Elephas maximus indicus: one gene and its partner. Each later gene encodes a partner of the first gene's protein in a complex. Links are inferred from orthologs where the notes say so. Each region holds a gene or a part of one and is shown on either strand. Other genes may lie near its edges.

What was found. The genes of interacting proteins can lie anywhere in the genome.
Region 2: the proteins of DYDC2 (region 1) and NME5 are in contact, whole or in part, in a cryo-EM structure (PDB 8X2U), measured with the Mus musculus proteins. The link is inferred for Elephas maximus indicus from reciprocal best matches to the Homo sapiens genes DYDC2 and NME5. Residues at the interface, in NP_001347537.1 of Mus musculus: Asp2, Tyr5, Leu6, Cys9, Phe10, Gly13, Leu14, Leu18, Val21, Ala22, Arg23, Val24, Arg25, Pro26, Asp28, Pro29, Ile30, Glu31, Leu33, Ala34, His35, Leu37, Tyr38, Tyr40, Arg41; in NP_542368.2 of Mus musculus: Arg140, Ala145, Val146, Ile147, Ile151, Pro152, Ala156, Ala157, Tyr160, Ile161, Tyr164, Val165, Thr168, Leu169, Leu173, Leu176, Cys177, Lys180, Pro181, Asp183, Pro184, Tyr185, Leu186, Leu188, Ala189, Asp190, Leu192, Met193, Asn196, Pro197.

What each region holds. Positions count from the first base shown.
Region 1 is NC_064826.1:131,930,121-131,940,298, forward strand, and holds the start of DYDC2 (DPY30 domain-containing protein 2), read right to left. Parts: upstream 4,594-10,178; 5' UTR 4,415-4,593; intron 4,219-4,414; 5' UTR 4,098-4,218; coding exon 4,021-4,097; intron 3,078-4,020; coding exon 2,921-3,077; intron 2,621-2,920; coding exon 2,498-2,620; intron 1-2,497. Other genes in the region: DYDC1 (DPY30 domain-containing protein 1), read left to right, coding at 9,235-9,381, 9,830-9,931.
Region 2 is NC_064820.1:151,199,883-151,209,993, forward strand, and holds the start of NME5 (nucleoside diphosphate kinase homolog 5), read right to left. Parts: upstream 3,894-10,111; 5' UTR 3,870-3,893; intron 3,825-3,869; exon of another isoform or gene 3,455-3,824; 5' UTR 3,411-3,454; coding exon 3,282-3,410; intron 1-3,281. Other genes in the region: bromodomain-containing protein 8-like, read right to left, coding at 5,149-5,199, 5,769-5,946, 8,029-8,097, 8,690-8,779. UniProt on the Homo sapiens protein: Functions as part of axonemal radial spoke complexes that play an important part in the motility of sperm and cilia. Does not seem to have nucleoside diphosphate kinase (NDPK) activity.

The DNA of each region.
Region 1 (10,178 bases):
TTCAATCCACTTCATGAGCCAATCAGAAATCAAAATTTAGAATTTCATCTTATTTGATGTACCTTCACCTCTTTCTACCACTCGTCTGTCAGTTTATCTTACTGTGGTGGCTTGTGTGTTGCTGTGATGCTGGAAGCTATGCCATCAGTATTTCAAATATCAGTAGGGTCACCCATGGTGGACAGGTTTCAGTGGAGCTTCCAGACTAAGAAAGACTAGCAAGAAGGACTGGTGATTTACTTCTAAAAAACTGGCCGTTGAAAACCTTGTGAACAGCAGCAGGACACTGTCTGAAGAATGACGTATTGCACTGGGCAAAACTGCTGCAAAAGACCTCTTTAAAGTGTTAAAAAGCAAAGAAGTCACTTTGAAGACTAAGGTGTGCCTGACCCAAGCCATGGTATTTTTAATTACCTCATATGCATTTGAAAGCTCGACAACGAATAAGGAAGACCAAGAAGAATTGATGCCTTTGAATTACAGTGGTGGGGAAGAATACTGAATATACCATGGACTACAAGAAGAACGAACAAATCTGTCTTGGAGGAAGTATAGCCAGAATGTTCCTAAGAAGCGAGGACAGGACAGCAAGACTTTGTTTCACGTACTCTGGACATGTTATCGGCAGAGATCAGTCATTGGGGAAGGACATCATGCTTTGTAAAGTAGAGGGTCAATGAAAAAGAGGAAGACCCTCAATGAGATGGATTGACACAGTGGCTGCAACAATGGGCTCAAACATAGCAACAATTGTGAGGATGGCAAAGGACTGGGCAATGTTTCCTTCTGTTGTACATAAGGTAGCTATGAGTCAGACCCAACTCAGTTCTGACCTGCAGCTAACAACAACATAACGACCACCTGTTTGCCTTCATCTAGCCTTTTCATCTTTTACTTGGAGAGTAACTTGCACCTGAATGTCATGGCTCTCCCTTGCCAGGTAAGCAAATTCACTGTTGTTTTCGATTACTGTTTGATTCTCTTTATTTTTTTCTAACAAAGGGAATCAATTTCCATAACTACAACTTGCATATAAACTCTTTCCTAACACCGAGAACTTGCACTTGGTCCAGGCATCGTGCTAGCTCTCATTTCCCATTTTTCCTTACAATTACTTTTGTCTCACACCTGGCAAAGGAATGACATGCCTTTTACTCATCCAAATATTATTAAGGAATATTGCTACAGGGTTTAAACCTCCTGAGTGTAATAAAAAATACAAGGGGACAATTCAAAATATTGGCACGAGCAAAGTATTCTTTAGTAAAGGCACCATAAAACAAGGGTGGCATTTCATTTTGGGGTCTCTCTCTGCCTTACATATATTTCTGTTAACAGTGAAGCATGTGTTAGAAAAGGGCTAGAGTGGGTGGCAAGGTGAGGGCAACTTCTATTAAATGACCTCATCTCTCCCATCCTCCAATTATTGTTCAAAGACTGTATCATCCCAGAGGGAGAGGTCCCTTGGACTATGTCAAATAATGGCGTGAAACCATCTTTCTTTTGATTTAATATATTTATAAAACATCCAGACTTCAAAAATAAATCTTAACTGTTATTAGGAAAGTTGAGCATATTAGTATAAATGTACATAAGCTTGTAACGTTTTCACATCTTAAAAAAAGTTGGGTTTGGAAATCCTAACCAAAAGGTCAGCAGTTTGAATCCACCAAGTGCTCCTTGGAAACTCTGTGGGGCAGTTCTACTCTGTCCTATAGGGTCGCTATGAGTCAGAACAGATTCGACAGCAATGGGCACTGGGTTATACAACTAGCATTGCTTATGCAAAAGCTAGTGAATTGTACAGACTGCATTAAAGATTTCAGTTCATAGGACATAGTGATAGTTAAAATGATCTCAGGTATCAAGTCCAAAATTGCAATTAAGTCAATTCCCTATTCAGGTGTACTTTGTAGAATGCATAAAATGACCCAAGACACTGTTCAGGAGATTGTGCCATAAAACTGTGGAAAATAAAAGATATGCTAGTCCACAATTATTTCCAATTATTTCAACATTACAGCTTCATAGAGGAGGCATCTGTGGCTTGGTGCAAAAGTAAGTACGTGCAAAAGTAAGTAGCACACAATGAACAAAATACATATATAAATAGCTTGCATGAAATAAAATATCTGAACTATACACTGATAACCATATTTGGTTTCTGAAAAATATTAAACAAATTTTTAAAAGAAGGCAAAGCATCTTGTATGAAGCTATATTTTTCCAGGTGAAGTTATTAGATTTCTTAAAAATCTAATTTTTTAAACTAATAACATCAATGGTATTTCCTGGAACCTAAAATGGAACTGCCCTTTAAGATTTCTTTTTCATAGACAGGGATTGTAAGATTGATTTACAGGTAAGTATGTAACTACAGAGCAAAAGGCGGGCTACTGGGAGGCTCACGTGCACTGGACTGCGGCAGGCTACTTGTTGACGTCCTGGTCTCCATTTGTGTGATGTCTGTGCCCAGTGCTCATTTCCTCCTTCCTACCTTGTGATCCTTTTCATCTTTCTGTTGAATTTGATACTCTCCTTGTTTCACCATTTCTGCCATTTCTGTTTCCTGAAGACTCTTGTCATACTCCTCTTTCAGCTGGGTCTTCTCTTGCATGCTCTAGGTGATGTGACAGAGCTGAATCAGTTCAGTACCCAGGTGGCAAGTACAAAAGAGCCCGCCCTCCTTGCTGACAGACCTCAGCCCTTCATGCCTGCCCAGCTCGCTCCTATAACTAGCTTTATTCTCCTAGTAGCTCTAAATCCATCAACTCCACAGCATCCTTGGGTTGGATTCTCTCTGCAGCCCCCAGACTATCCACACTTCTGGGCCCAAGCCAAGAAACTCCCCAGGCAAGCTCCAGAATTACTCTAGAGAAAGCTGGAAGCCCCCCAAAGGAGAGCCAGTGCACATACATACCTCTTCTTTTGCCTTTGTGGTTTTCCGATAATGATAAAGCCAGTGAGCCAAGTACTCTATTGGGTCACTGGGCCGAACCTTTGCCACCTCTGCCAGTGCCTGGGCCAGGCAATTTCCAAAGCATCTCTTCAGGTACCCCGTTTCCATTCTGTGGGGCCTGGGAAAAAATCCAAGCAGAGTCCCACTGTTGGTTTAAGAAATGGACACATTCTAACCAACTCATGATTCATTTCAGGATAAATATGAGATGTTTCTGGATTCCACCCTGCCCCAGAAGAGCCAACAAAGGAGACTTGCCAGTAGCTCTTATCTTCAAGTGAGCTTTTTCCTAATGCTCTCCAGCAAACAAAAGGTTCTAGGGGGTCATCAGGCCTCAGAGGAAATACATTGATGGTTAGGGATGGCTACAGGCCTCCACTTACACACTTACACCCTTGGGTTAGGGAGCCGTGGTTTTGTGACACTGGAACCCACAGTCACCTATGACCTAGATCCAAACCCGAACCCACTGCCCTTGAGTCAATTCTGACTCACAGTAACCCTACGGGGCTGAGTAGAACTGCCCCATAGGGTTTCCAAGAGTGTAAATCTTTATGGAAGTAGACTGTCATATCTTTTTCCTGCAGAGAAGCTGGTGGGCTTGAGCCACTGACCTTTAAGTTTGCAGCTGAGTGCTTTAACCACTGCACCACCAGGGCTCCTATGACACAGATAAAACCCACAGATACAAAGGCTTATTTATTTCACAAGAAGCCTAGGGCAGGAGGAGGCAAACTAACAGGCCCTGCAGCTACTGCTGGTCAAGGGCGCTGCCACACCTAATACTATACTCCACTTTCTACTACTTAAGCAGAAAACTACTTTATTTACTTTTGATTTACTTGCCCTTTGATTTACTTTTAATCAGATTTCGAGAGCTGGAGGTAATGTAGCCTGGGTCATACTGGCTTCCAACCAGTTCGTTCAGGCCCCAGGTATACGATTCAGAATCCACATTTTAACAAGATCCCCTGGTGATTCTTATGTATAATAAGCTTTGAGAACCACAGCTCTACTAGTGGCTCTTAGAACTGGCCCCTAACCAGCAGCTTTAGCATCACCTGGGAACTTGTAAAGAATGCAAACTCTCAGCAGGGGTTCCGTCCCAACCAATAGGTTCAAAGACCTGTAACACCATACGTTTACGAGGCAGTATACGGTGGCAGTATGAACGTAGACTGTGGAACCAGACCAAGTTCCAGTCCTGGTTCTCCTGTGATCTTCAGCAAGTCAGTTTATCTGAGCTCCCGCTTCCTCATCTGTAAAAGAGAAATAACAAATGTACCTCAAAAATTGAGAGGATCAAAAGAGATAATACATGGTGACTAGTACATAAAATCAAACCAGTTGCCGTGGAGTTGACTACCTGGAGAAAGCACTTACCCTAAGCAGGCGCCCCTCCCTGCTTCTCCCGGAGCCCACCAACCCTTCCTCTCCCAGAATCCCTCAGCTCACTTCCTCTGCTCCTCCGACGCTCCTCACAGTGTCTATGCCGCATCCCTCCACCCCGCGCGCGCTCGCGTGCGCACCGCCTCCTCTTTATGTCGTGCTCCTCGCCCTTTCGCGCGCTCCTGGGCTCACCCACCCGCGCGCTTCTCCTCTCTGTGGCGCGCTCCCTTTGGCTTCTGGGGTGCGCGAGTTTGCTGCCTAGCGACGGGACGCGGATAGCCGGCAGGAGTTCGGCGCGTGCGTGCGGCGTGCGCATCGAGAACGCAGGCGCAGTGGTCCGAGAAAGGTTCGTCCCACTTTCCTTGGGTCGCAGCGGGCAGAGGCGGTTCTGACAGACGTTGCTAGGAGCCTAGGGCTAAGGGGGCGCCCAAAGGCCATGTGAGGGTTAGCTCCGCACCTGGGGTCCCGTTTGCCAGCTGCTCTTCCTCCTCCTCCTCTTCCTCCCTCGTCCTCGGGGAGCGCGCCTTGTGTAGGGATTTGCCAGATAAAACACCGGACGCCCAATTAAATTTGAACTTCAGATAGACAACGAAAAACATTTCAGTACCCTGGTGGCGCAGTGATTAAGAGCTCGGCTGCTAACCAAAAGGTCGACAGTTGGAATGCACCAGCCACTCTTTGGAAACCCTGTGGGGCAGCTCTACTCTGTGCTATAGGGTAGCTATGAGTCGGAATTCGACTGGACGGAAATGGATATAGTGTAATACAAAATTATTCGCTGTTTAGCTGACATTCAAATTTCACTGGGTGTCCTGTATTTTTATTTGCTTAATCTGGCAGCCCTACCTGGATCTGTCTCCCTGGTTTGGGCGAGGCATCTCAGTCTGTCTCTTGTGGCACCTTCTCCAGATTTGAGGCGGCTGTTTCTGTGGGAAGGGGCTTTCTTCTTTTGATCCAAGATGCTGCCTATTGGTGTATATGAAAAATAGCATTCCTTTCAACAACTCTGTGAAATGGGTACTATCACCATTTCGTGGACAGGGAACAGATGCCAAGTGAGGTGACGAGCCCCGCCCAAGTCCCACTGATGATGGGCTGCAGCACACCGTGGACCCGTTCCTACTCTTAATCTCCCGCATTAGGGACCCTGCCCCCTTCCCGCGTGTTTTATTTTTGAGGAGCAGCGGCAGGAGGCCCTTCCCTCTTTTATGTTACTCCACTTCAAATGAAGTTGAGATATCTTTGTAGTTTCTTCTGTTTTTAGAGAAGTACAGTGAAGATACTGTGTTCCAAAGTCAGCTGTAATCTTTTCCCTGTGTGGTTAGGACACCAGTGCCAACCTGATGGGGAGTTAGGTTCATTTGTACCAGTTTGCTTTTGGTCTGTAGAGTTTTTAATTTTTACACACACGGCATTCCTTTCTCACTGCTGTTGCTAATACAAAGGATGGCATGCTATATATACTTGCTGCACCTTGCTTTGTTAATGTCCTGAATGTCCCTCCCTGTTTTAGAGGTCTTCCTCATTCTTTTACATCTGCATAGTAATTGATGGTGTTGCTGTGTATCATCGATCTCCTGTTGATGAATAATTGAGTAGTTTCCCAGTCTTTGGCTATTCTAAGCAGTGGTGCAAAATAACCTCGTGCATATGTCGTTTCGTATTTTTACAGGTGTATCTTTGAGCTAGGATCTTTGAGCTAGGATCCCAGAGTGAGATTGTGGGGTCGCAGAGAAGACATGTGTAGAGTCTGCCAAATTCCCCCCATACCATTTTGCACTCCCATCAGCATTGCATGAGAGAAGAGCAGTATTGGGGGTCTATGCATAGATCTCAGGATGTCAGTGTTTCTGAGATCTTAATATAAAATGTCAGGTGCATTGGACTAGGAGCAGGATGTGGACAGCCTGGCACTCTGTCCCCATGCCTGTACACTAACTCCTATACCACGCCTTTTCTCTTACCTGGAAGGCTCTGCCTTCTCTTTGCTGTGTTGACCGCATGCTCACTCCTATACCAGCGCCTTTTCCCATACCTGGAAGGCTGTTGCTTCTCCTTGCTGGGATGACTTTTACTGTTCCTTCAAATCTTAGTTTGAACATCACCCCTCAGGAAAGCTCTCCTTGACTTTTCCAACTGGGTCAAATCCTCCTGTTATCTGGTTTGCATAGTACTCATGACAATTTCAATTTTACATTCATTTATTGATGTTAATATTTGATTAATGTTTGTCTTCCCTACTCACCTGTAAGCTCCATGAGGGCAGAGACTGTGTTTTGTATTCCCAGCATCTGTCAAGGTGCCTCAGTTTGTATTTGTTGAATACAAACACACACAAAAAAGCCATTGCTGTCAAGTTGATTCTGACCCATGATAACCCTATGTGGTGCAGAGTAGAATTGCTCCATAGGGTTTTCTTGGCTGTAGTGTTTATGGAAGCAGATCACCAGGCCTTTCTTCTGTGGTGCCACTGGGTGGGTTTGAACTGCCAACCTTTTGATTAGTAGCTGAGTGCAAACCATTTGTGCCACCCAGGGACCATATTGTTGATAGGCATTCAGTATATATTTGTTGAATAATGAACACATTTCATCAGCTTTTTCGAGGAGTCTAAATTCCATAAAAGGGCATGACCAGCAGAGATGCAGGGTGTTCAGGACATGTCGGGGCAGCAGAGAGATCTGGAGGCGCCTGAAAGGAGAATTGGGGCCAGATGGTCAGGAGTCTATTAAGCTGTTATTTGAGGACTGGCCATGGAGAGTCATGGAATTTTTTTTTTAAGAGGTGGAATATTGTGATGTTTTATAAAAATGGCTCTCATGGCTTGGAATCAGCATCTTAGTTCAGTCAGAGTGAGGGCTCTGGAATCAAGAGTTGCGTACTGCAGTAAGCAAGGGTCAAAGTGAGCAAATTCCACCTTCTCTGCTAACTGCATGGTAAGGATCAGCATGAATCCAACCCCCAAATTGTGGAAATGGATCTAGTCCTCACCTTCCCACTTCCCCATCCTCATTGCATGCCAGCCACCCAAGTGGCACACGCTCTCTTCAACCCTACCCACCCAGGGGTAGGTCAGAGCTCAAGTCAAATGGACACCGTCCTTCAGACCAGCAGCCTTCTCATATACCTATCCACCCAAAGCTAGATTAGACCCCACAATTTAGACACTGTCCTTCATATAGGCGGATGCCAGCCCCTGCTGGTTCTCACTGCCCCTGTGGATTTGTTAATTTGCTGGAATGACTCAAAGAATCTTATGGTGAGTGTACCATACTTAAAACTACAGATTTACTACAACCAAAAAGGATACAAATGAAGAGACGCATAAGGTGAGGTCTGGTGGAGGTGGAGTGTCACAAAGTGAAGATTCCATGTCCCAAAGAGGAAGCGTTACCCTCTCTCATGCATGGTCACCAACCAGGAAGCTCATCTGAGCCTTTCAGTTCAGGACACTTATCAGCCTCCACTAGTGGCCATGATAGATTGTTTCATCCCTCCTGAGGCTTAGTCAACATCAGACCCCCAGATGGCCCCTCTTGGTCTGCTCAGACCCCACTCATTAGCCTCAGGTGTGGTCCAGCTCTCAAGAACCCAGAACAAAAGCCAAATTGCAAGGTGGTTCTACATCTTGCAGGTACAAATCTCACCTCCACTATGTGCCAGCTCTTCGATCCCGAACTGTTGAATTAAGCTCTTTGTGCCTGGGTTTCCTCATCTGCACAATGGGGATAATGAGACCCACTTTTCAGATAAGTTGTAGGGATTAAGTGAGACAGTGCGTTGCTTGGTATACAGTCTTCTTGCAATAAATAATAATTGCAATAGTAATAATCAGTATCCCTTTTCTCTCTCTGGGGCTTGAGGGCTCATCAGGATTTTGAAAATATTTTAGTTGTAGTGACTTCTGTAGAAGCTTTTTGGAAACTCTTAGAAGTTTCCTGGGGCCAGCATGCTTGTAACATCTCTGATGGTAGGCATCAATGACTGGTGATAGGGTATAATACATTGTTGGCCTGCTGGACTTTACTATTGTTGTTAGGTGCCGTCTCAAGTCAGTTCCGACTCATAGGGACCCTAGGTACAATAGAACAAAACACTGCCTGGTTCTGCACCATTCTCACAATTGTTATGCTTGAATTCATTGTTGCACCCACTGTGTCAGTCAATCTCATTGAAGGTCTTCCTCTTTTTCTCTGATCCTCTGCTTTACCAAGCGTGATGTCCTTCTCCAGGGATTGATTTTTGCTGATAACATGTCCAAAATATGTAAGACGTAGTCTCACCATCCTTGCTTCTAAGGAGCATTCTGGTTGTACTTCTTTCAAGACAGATTTGTTTGTTCTTTTGACAGTCCATGGTATTTCAATATTCTTTGCCAAGATTTCTTTGGCCAATTCTTCTTTGGCCTTCCTTATTTATCATCCAGATTTTGCATCCATATAAGGCGATTGAAAATGCCATGGCTTGGGTCAGGTGCACCTTAGTGTTCAAGGTGACATTTTTGGTTTTCAACATTTTAAAGAGGTCTTTTTTAATAGATTTGCCCAATGCAGTGTGTCTTTTGATTTCTTGACTGCTGCTTCCATGGGCTTGATTGTCTTACTGTGCCTTAATTGGAGCCCTGGTGGCGCAGTGGTTAAAGCAATTGACTGCTAACTAAAAGGTCGGAGGTTTGAAACCACCAGCAACTCCGAGGGAGAAATATGTGGCAATCCTCTTCCATAGCGATTTACAGTCTTGGGAACACTGTGGGGTTACTGTAAGTCAGAATCGGCTTGACCAGGTGGTTTTTTTTTTTTTTTTTTTGGTTTGGTGCCTTAATCGGAAATTTCCTGCACTGATTCAAAACATTTATTTTTTTAGGCATTTATATTTAGGAGTTAGAAATGGAGTCACTCTATCTTCAGAAACACCTTGGGACATGTCTAACTCAGGGTCTTGCAGAAGTGGCAAGAATTCGCCCAGTGGATCCAATAGAGTATTTGGCATTGTGGATTTACAAGTATAAGGAAAATGTGACCATGGAACAAATGGTAAGTATTGCTTTCCTTTTAGAAAATTAGAAGAGTAAAATAATTGGTCCAATTTGTCTGCTTTTTTTAAAGTTCAGTATTTTTTCTTCTTTCCATTATAAAAATAATATATTCATTATACAAAAACTTAGACAACATGAAAAACAAAAACAATACCCAAAGAAGACCTCTATTTATATTTTTATGTATTTTCATTTATTCTTTTTTCCACACATTTGTCTGTAGATTTTTTTACATACTTGTGATCATACTCAATGTATAATTTTAATTTTATGCTTCGCTCAAATAAAATAACATCTTCCCAAGTAATTATAGATTTTCCAGATTAATAGACTATAATTTGCTTAACTCTTTCCCTATTGTTGGTAACTTAAATGATTTCAAAAATGTTTTTACAAACTGTTTTTTCTCTTATTAATCATATGATATTGCTTTTAAACAATGCTAGAAAGAAAAGGAAATGGCCGAGTTGGAGCGTGAAAGAGAGTTAGCTCTTTTGGAACAGGAGATGATGGAGAGGCTCAAAGCAGAGGAGCTCATGTTTCAGCAGGTGAGACAAGTAAGATGAGTTCACAGGTGTCTGTGGAATTAGGGCTTTCAGCCTTGTGTGATACACTGAAACTTTGAAAGACTACCTGTCCCTGGTTACTTGCTTAGCTGTGGCTCTCTAATGCCTTTACCTTTATGTACATGTGTGCTTTCTTTGCTGGAGAAAAAGCAGCAGTGGGGTAGGAGGAAAACCCAAGAGTGCTGTTGCAGATGCCTGGGGAGAGAGTGTGCCAGTGAGACATGAGTGG
Region 2 (10,111 bases), on another chromosome or scaffold:
ACTTATTTGTTGCCCTGGTGGCCCAGTGGTTAAGTGTTACACTGCTAACCGAAAGGTCAGCAGTTTGAACCCACCAGCCACTCCTTGGGAGAAAGATGTTGCAGTCTGCTTCCGTGAAGATTACAACCTTAGAAACCCTAGAGGGCAGTTCTACTCTGTCCTACAGGGTCACTGAGTCAGAAGAGACTCCATGGCAGTGGTTTTTTTGATACTTGGTAGCTGCCATTGAGTCAGACCCTGACTCGTGGCCACCTCACGCACAACAGCTTAAAACACTACCTGGTCCTAAGCCATTCCCATGATCAGTTGTAGATCTGGTCGTTGTGATCTGTCTTAGTTATCTAGTGCTGCTAATACAGAAATACCACAAGCGGATGGCTTTAACAAAGAGAAATTTATTCTCTCACAGTCTAGGGTGCTAGAAGTCCAAATTCAGGGTGCCAGCTCCAGGGCAAGGCTTTCTCTCACTGTCAGCTCTGGGGGAAGGTCTTTGTCATCAATCTTCCCCTGGTCTAGGGGCTTTTCCATGCAGGAACCCCAGGTCCAAAGGACTCGCTCTGTTCCCAGTGCTGCTTTCTTGGTGGTATGAGGTCCCCAACTCTCTGCTCACTTCCTTTTTATCTCTTGTAGGATAAAAGGTGATGCAGCCCACACCCCAAGGAAACTCCTTTACATTGGATCAGGGATGTCACCTGAGGAAGAGTGTTACATGCCACCCTAATCCTCTTTAACATAATCTAATCTTGCCTCATTAACCACAGGCAGGGATTAGGATTTACAACACATAGGAAAATCAAACCAGTCACAAAATGGAATGCAACCACACAATACTGGGAATCATGGCCTAACCAAACTGACACACATTTGAGGGGGGGTGCACAATTCAATCCCTGACATGATCTATAGGGTTTTCATTGGCTGATTTTCAGGAGTAGATTGCCAGGTCTTTCTTACTAGTCTGTTTTAGTCTGGAAGCTCCACTGAAATCTATTCAGTATCATAGCAATGCGTAGGCTCCCAGTGCACATGAGGTACACTGACAAGAAATTGAACCTGGGTCTCCTGCACGGAAGGGGAGAATTTTACTACTGAACCACCAATAACAAGGTTCAAAAAACCAAAACAGTATAAAAAGATATGTACTGAAAAATCTCATTCTAATCCACCCTGTTTCTCTCTCACCTCAATAGGCAACCTTTTTTTAAATTTATTTCTCAGTACTTCATTTTGCAAATACTGGCAAACAAGAATGTTACACTTCCTCTTTCACAAAAGGTTGCCACACACAGTTCTGCACCTTGCTTTTTTCCATAACAGCACACACACAGGTTCTTTATTCTTTTTACACTGAGTTGCACAGTACTCAATTTGGTGGATTCACCAGGGTTTGTTTAACCAATCTCCTACTGCTGGATTGTGTTCAATCTTTCACTAGTAAATAAAACAAAAAAATTGAACCAGCTGCTGTTGAATCAATTTCAATTCATGGCAACCCCATGCGTGTCAGAGTAGGACTATACTAAATAAATAACACTGCAAAAAATAACCTGTATGCATGCCATTTCATGTTAACACAAGAGTTTCTATAGGAGGGATTCCCAAGAGTAGGACTACTGAGTCAAAGAGTAAATGCATCTGTAATCTTGGTAGATAATTGCCAAATTCCCTTCAAGAGGGGTTGTGCCATTTAGAGTTTAGCCAAATGGTATCTCAGTATAGTTTTAATTCACTTTTTCCTACTAAGAGGTTGGGCATCTTTTTACACATTTAAGAAACCCTGGTGGCACAATGGTTAAGCACTCGGCTACTGACCAAAAGGTTGGTGGTTCAAACCCACCCAGCAGCTCTGATGAAAAGACCTGGCAATCTGCTCCCATAAAGATCAGAGCTTAGAAAACCCTATGGGGCAGCTCTACGTTGTCACATGGGGTCGCTATGAGTCGATTATCAACTCGGCGGCACCTACAACAAAAACCATTTGTTTTTCTTTTTTCTGTGACCATCCATGTGCTCTATGCATCTTTCTACTGTTAATCTTTTCTAGGAACACATTATACATTATGGAGATCGGTACTTCATGATACGAGTTGCAAATCTTTTTTCCAAGTTTGTCATTTTGTGTTTTGACCTTGCGTATGGGGTTTATTTGGCCATGCAGAAGTTTTCAAATTTTATGTAGTCTTACCAAGCTTTTCTCTTATGGCTCCTAAACTTTAAGTCATAGGAAAAAAGGCTATCCCACTGCAAAGATAAGAAGAAATTCATCCCTCTTTTCTTCTAAACCTTATACGGTTTAAGTTTTAAATATTTAAATCTCAGATCCATTTGGAGTCTATCCAAGTATATAATATTTGAATTCTACTTTTAAAAAAATGGCTACCCAGTTTTCCTAACACTGTTTATTAAAAAGTTCTATTAATTATATTACATATTTCCTTACTGTTTCCTGTACTGTTTCCTTACTTTTTTCTTACACCACCCCTACTTTTGGCCTCTATACCTATTCTTTGAAGCTCAACTGAAATCCTATATATTTCCTGAAAACTGAAGTTTTCTCTTTTTTAAAACACTGACTAAACAGGGAACATAACACTGTATAAATGTAAGAGAATAAAAAACTGGAAATTCAAGAAAGGATGGAACAAAAAGGAAGATTAAAAATATTCAATTCTATTTGATAATCTTCAGCAATACTCTTTTTATATTCATTTCCAAGTCTCTAAAATGACAGTGTTTACCAACTGCAGAACAAATACAAGGCTTTAAAACCTTAAATGTTTGTAATGAAAAATACTAACTGAAGAAATACCAACAACCTAAGAGACCATCAACAGAGAACTTTTAAAAGTAAATAAATTACGGTTCATCCATACAGAGGAATATTACACAGAAGTTGTAAATAGGACGAATGAGATAGATTCAGATATATATCCGGAGTGCTAAGGGACTTTGTTAAGGGGGTCAAGGGAAAGAAACTATTCCCTTTTAAGAGGGAAAAATATTTGTAAATGCATAGATAATCCCTGGAAGAACAGAAAGTGTTAACAGTGGTTGCCTCTGGAGACTGGGACTTGGGGTTGGAGGGAAAGAAAACCGACTTTTATTTCTCATTTTATATCCTTCTGAACCATGAAAAAAAAGCTTTTTACAACTATCACGTGCTACTTTTATAACTACAAAAATTAATGCTAAGCACTAAGGATCTAAATGGATTAGTGTTATTTACATAAAAAAAAGGATAAAAAAGAGCCAAAAGCACGATCACCCTGCCCAGAAGTTACCTGAACAATGGTGAATCCAGATCTAAGAATAATGTCTTGTATCTCCTCCTCTTTGTCAACAATATCTGGTTTGATAATGGCCAGAGTTTTTTCTACATATATCTGAGGTGGGGGCATTGATATCTCCATCTTGGCTTTTCAGAGTAATTTAATAGTTTCTTGACAGGTATCAACTGCAATGACAGTACCCCACCCACCCCAAAATTAATGTAATTGTGATTAAGAATAGCAATATCAGGTGCTTGATTTTCGTTTATAAAGTCCGAAATGGCCATATATTTTTCTATAAGCATTGTTCCAGTGATATTTCTATTCTGCGTCCAGGTCATGCCTTGGGTTTTTGTAAGGCATTCACCGAGAGAAGGACCGAGGGGCTGCCCGAAGGCCTGGGACTGTGGCAGACGCGCGGGGCGGAGGCCAGGGGCGGGAGCGGGAGCAGGGGCATGGAAGGGTGGGCAGCCTCTACTGGCTGGCTGCCTGAAAGAAGCAATTCCTCCCCACAGGGAGGACTGCTTATTTAGAGCCAGGACTGACTGAAAAGCAGGGTCCTCAGGACCCCTCTGGGCTGCACCCACCGGAGGCACTCACCACAGCACCGCACCCAACTCAGTGACCACAAGTTGTTGCTAGGAGACCAGAAGCCCCAGCTCCCGGATGGTGGCTGCAGAGGGCCAATTCTAGCAGTTCTTCCACGCTTGCCTGGTTTCTTTTAACCAAGAAAGGGAACTAGCCCCAGACGTTTTTGTAGGTCTAGCCCTCTGACTTGAGGCTGTAGAAGAAGGACCTCCCGTTCCTGAAGGCTTTCCACTGCTGCCTGCCTTCCTGTACTACTTCACTTCACAACTTATTAGTGCTGGACCTACTGAGGCTCAGGGCTTTCCAAACCAGTAGGCACAATGTCAGTCCTTCAGGGCCTTGAATCACCCCTAAACACAAACTCTGGGAACACAAGGTCATCTCAGTATCATCCTTATTTTCAAAGACTCAGAAATCAGATTCCAGAGGCTATACTCCTTTTTTCCTGCAGTTCTCCACATACAGTACTTGAATCTGTTCCAAGAGCACTACACTTTTTGGGTTTTTTTTTTTTTTTTTTGCTGTTGTTTTTACATTTTCTTCATAATTATCTTATTTCTTCTTCCTACTTATTTGAGGGATGCTTCAATTATTCTAACTTTACAAATGAGGAAGAGCGCTGGTGGTGCAGTGGTTATGAGCTCGGCAGTTAACTGCCACAAGAGAAAGATGTGGCAGTCTGCTCCCGTAAAGATTATAGCCTTGGAAACCCCATGGGATAGTTCTACTCTGTCCTACAGAGTCACTATGAGTCGGAATCAACTCAACAGGTTGGTTTGTTTGTTTTTTGGTTTTACAAATGAGAAGACAAATCAAAGATCTCCCCCAACCCCACCCCACCCCGTTCCAGACAGTATATGTAAGAAAACCCCTATCAAGTATCTTCTTCATTTCACAGACTGTGCTATCCTCTTTATCCTGGTTTCTTTAATCATTAAAATAGTCTGAGGTTTGTGAAATAACATTTATTTATAGATCAGCAATAACAGGCTTAATCTAGTTACCTCTAAATTAAGCTTGTAGAACAAAGTTGTAGGCAACAATTGTGGCATAAACCCAAATTTCAGCTTTCCTCTTTTCTTTATAGTATGTTCACAGGCATCTTTGACTCCTTGGTAATGAGTTAAAGGTCTTAATTTTATTAGAAAAGAAAATGGAGAAGTGGTAAACAACTACTGAAATCTTCTCTGGATCAGAGTCTTAAGAAGAGGTCCAAACTCCAGAAGAGATCAGGGTAGCAGCTCCAGGTTAACAAAATAGGTTTCCCATCATCCACCAGGTTGGTTGGTTGTCATTCCAGACTACTTAGATCTCTTCTTTTATCTAACCAAATACTCAGCACCTACAGGGTCAAGGCACAGAGAGCAAGCTATGAATCTTAAAAGCTACAGAGATTTAAATGCAATTTATTTCTTCTTCTGCATATAAATTTGACTGTACTTCTTTCTTTAAAGTATGATGCTGCCCAGAAAGAAATTCTCAAATGTCCTCATCTGGCTACTATGTCTTATCTGCTAAAGATGGGACAGTGTGAAAGTACATTAATATCAACAGATGTAGTAATCCAAAAATGGCCAGTGACTCTAGCCGCTGGTTTACACATCTACGCCTCTGACTTGAGGCTCTAGATGCAGGATCTCCCATTACTTATCTATCCCCAGCTCTCCTGAGAGCTCTTCGCTGCTGCCTGCCTTTCTGGACTACTTCACTTGCTAATTTATTAGAGCTCGGGGTGTTCCAAGTCAGTATGCACAATGTCAATCCTTCCTTCAGGGCCCTGATTTATCCCTAAAGATAAATAAACTCTGGGAACACCAGGTCATCTCAGTATCAACCTTATTCTCAAAGACTTTCTGAAATTAGATTCCAGAGGCTATATTCCTTTTTCCTGCAGTTCTCTAAATATAGTACCTGAATCTGTTCCAAGACTTCTCGCTGCATCTCCACAGCCATGTGGTACACATGATGGTCAGAGTCATTGTACATCACAGCATTTTGGAACATCAGCATCAGATCCCGCTGAAACTGGGCCATGGTGCGAATCTGTCCCTTAGACAGATTTCTCTTCAAGCTAGTTAAGTCCATGGGTCTGCAGGTGGCCAAGAGAAACCAGGGGAAATCAAACATTCATGTGGAATATGTGGAACCTAACATGTTCTCTTGGAGAACTAACCAGCTCTTAATGAATAATAGTAAAAATAACAAACCCACCAGATAATAAAATAACAACAGCAGCTAATATTTGACTGCTTTCAAGAGACCAAGCATTATGCTAGGCGCTTTATATATTAACTCAATCTTCTCAATAAACTTATAAGGTAAGTATTATCCCCACTTGACAGATGAAACTGAGATCTAAAGAGGTTAAGTACTTGTCCAAAGTCACATAGCCTGGATTCCAGTTCAAAGGCAGCCTGACTCCAGAACCCACAAGCCCAGGCGTTTCACTCAACTATCATAGCAGAATGGAGCCCTGGCGGTGCACGTGGCTGCTAACCAGAAGCTTGGTGGTTCAAACCCATCTCGTGGCTCTGCAGAAGAGAAGCCCTGGCAATCTGCTGCCATAAAGATTATAGCCAAGGAAACCCTATGAGGCAGTTCTTCTCTGTTATGTATGGTCGCTGTGAGTCAGAATCAATGGCACACAACAACAACAGCATCACAGCAGGAAAGCTAGCCCTAGGTACCAAAGCTGTAAAGAATCCGATGGTCAGTTTGTCACATACTAGTTACTGACTGACTGTTTACAATGTACAATCTTATACTAGGTAATTAATCTACTTTTATTATTGTATAAATCAAAGCTAATTTTTTTTTCTCCTTTCATGGGAGTAAAAAGAATGAGAATCAGGTAAATAAGATAAATTATTATTCAATGAGGCAGAGATAGTGGGTATGTAAGAGAAGGCACAACAGTGTAGAAAGAGGACTAAACTGGGAGGTAAGAATTTGGGGTTTAGTTCTAGCTCTGCTATTAACTATAAGTCAGGACCACCTCTAAGCCTTAGTTTCCTTACATTTAATATGAAGTGTTTTTTTCCAAAGGTCCCTTTCTGATCTTCTATACTCTATTAATAAACACACTGGTTTACAACAGTGCTTTAAATATACTATGCTATCAAAATTCAAAATACTGCAAACAACCAGTGTTAGTAACATCCCTTTGGATTACCGTATCTGCCTTAGAATACTTATATAACTGCCTGGTCATACAGCTTTCCTTTTCAAGTTCTGCTCCAAAAGAACACTATCAAAATCTACCAAAGGCTAATGGTGAGATTATAATAAATGGATCATATTACTTAAAAATATGGGGGAAAAAAAACTCCAAAAAACAAAAATTAGAGTATCCTTTTGTTCCCTTCATTCCTTCTCAAATGAAAAGACCAAGCTAACCATAACTTTACGTTTTTAGCTGAAGTAAAGAAATTATCTAATAGATGAGAAATGAAGAATGAAAAGACACTATCCAAGGCACAACAATTGGTCTCTATTCACCTGGAAAAACACAGAAAGAAGGAAAGTCAGGAGTAGGAGGAAGAAACGGAATGTGCAGCTAACTGCCTCCATGCACAACTGCCTCCTTTGCCATGAGACCAGAAGAACTGGATGGTGCCTGGCTACCATTACTGAACGTTTTGATCTAATATCCTATAGAAGAATCCTGATCAAAATGCAGAACAGAATTTCAAATTCTCATGGAATCCATACTTTCTGGAGCCATTGAGGCTAGATGAACTCCTGAAACTATCGCCCGGAGATAATAGTTAAACCTTAAACCAAAAATATCCCCTGAAGTCTTCTTAAAACCAAATGATAGTTTAGCTTAACTAGTAAAGAATGTCTGCCTTGAACCTTATGCTCTTTTGAGATCTATCTATATGGGTTCAAACTGATAACAGCAACTTGAAAGATCAGATAGGAACCTTAGACGGCAGTGCGTTTATGTTACTGGGGGAGGAACAACTCAGAAAAGGAGAGTGAGAATGATTGCACAGCTTGAAGACTATAATCACTGTCACTGAATTATACATGCAGAAACTTGAACTGGTGTATGTTTTTGCTGTGTATATTCTCAACAGCAGTGACAACAAAATAACTTAAAAAAAAAAAAGGAATTAAAAGACAGATATAAAAGCAACCAACCTTTCTTGACCCCTTTTCCACTGACCTTTTCACCACATCTTTGTATCCTGGGGCCTGCCTATCTGACACAGGCTTCAGAAATGGACTGCTGAACCTGGTAAGAGACAAATCCAGAGAGGATGAAGAAACTCTGGCAAGTTATTCTGAATAAGAAGAGCAGCTATGAACTAGAAGACAATATTTAACCTACAGAGTGTGGATCACTTCTTATAAGACTTTCCTTAGGGAAATGCAGACTGAGTGCCATTATGGAAGACTATTAGTTTATTCTTGCTGAACAGAAAAAGAATTTAAAAAAAAAAAAGTATAAAATATTTAACTACAATTCTAATATACTGATTAAACGCTCAGAAATTTGTTGAAGGCCCTGAGGCCCTATGTCTGTGGAAAAGGAGGCGCCACCATATTGGAAGGAAGCATATATTTTAAATACTAATTTTATCATGTAATAGGAACCAATTTCTATAGGCAACTCAAATGACACAGCAACTATATCTTATACAGACCTGTGAAAGCAGCTGTGAGGACTTATGGATAAAACAGGCTTAGATATAGGATTTGCCTCTATCTAAGCCTATCATATGGATCATATGATGGGATGAACACATCTTCTTTTATGCTTAATCCCAAATCTGTGTCACCGATTCAGCTCTGAACATAATCCCATCACCGCTCTGGATACCTACCTGTGACTGGCAATCATCTTCCAGACTGGCAGGAGAGTCTTCTTAAATAGTAAATGATCCTGAACAGGATCATTCTGGCCTAGGTCAGACCTATGGGACAAAACATGACAGAAAAGAGATAGTAACTTCATAAATGGTATTCTACCTCCCCCAGGTGTGAGGTTTTCTCAAGCCATAGTAGGAAAAAATATCCTGAAAAAATAGAACACCATAGGAACAAAAATATGTTTAATACTTCTAAAAGGGATCCCAAGCTCAATAAATATTCTCTTACCTATTACTGTTATTCAGTGAAATGGTTACTTTCTTATAATGTAAACTACAATACTACAATTGTCTGTGTCTTTTCAACTCTTGTTGATTTGCTCTTCAGCACCTGTGACTGACCCGGTGCATGAAGGTAGTCTTTGTCCACTGATGCTTCCCAAGTACCTGTAACAGTAAGTGCCTGGCACATATTAGATGCTTAATATGTATTTGATGAATGAATCTGGTCTTGTTTTTATGCAGGAATATGCCACATTGGCAAGTATCTTTCCCATATTTCCAGAGAAGGAAATACTGGTTTCACATTCTAAGGAATTCACTTATGTTTTACCCTAATGCTACACAATTTAAACATCTTTTCCTTTTTGCTCTTCTCTATACAGAAGTAATCCTTAAAATACAATATTCATTTCTCCTCACGGCCATTCCTTCCTTGGACTAAATTGTTTAATTTACTTATATTTTCTTTGGAAGTACAACTTGTACACTGTTTTATTTCATTCATAATTTTCCTAGATTTCCAAGTTTTCTGCTTAAACATTAAATTACAAATCCCACCTTATGTAGTGCATTTTCCCTCTAAACAGGCTCTCTTCACATCTAAGGTTGCATACTCTCATTTTGCTTTATATACCATACCGTGTGTGTCTACTTGAGCAGTACAATTCACATCTCATTATCTGTTTTGGACTGAATTGTGTCCCCCCCAAAATATGTTATAAATCCTAGCCTTTATGCCTGTGGTTATAATCCCATTTGTTATGTTAATGAGGCAGGATTAGTGTAGGGTATATCTTGAATCAATCTCTTTTGAGATATAAAAGATATTAAACTAGCAAGCTAGCAGAGATGGAGGAAGAGAGATGCTAAGCCTCATGAAGGCTGTCCAGGAGCAGGAGCTCAAAGAGAGCTCCTTCCTCCAAAGCTGACACAGAGAGAAAGCCTTCCCCTAGAGCTGGCGCCCTGAATTCAGACTTCTGGCCTCCTAACTGTGAGAAAACAAATTCCTCTTTCTCAAAGCCACCCACTTGTGATATTTCTCTTATAGCAGCATTACATAACTAAGACATTATCTTTCTCCCATATAAGCATCTCCATGTAACTATTCATTTTAATCATATAAAATCTCACTTGCATCTAAATCACATGACAAAA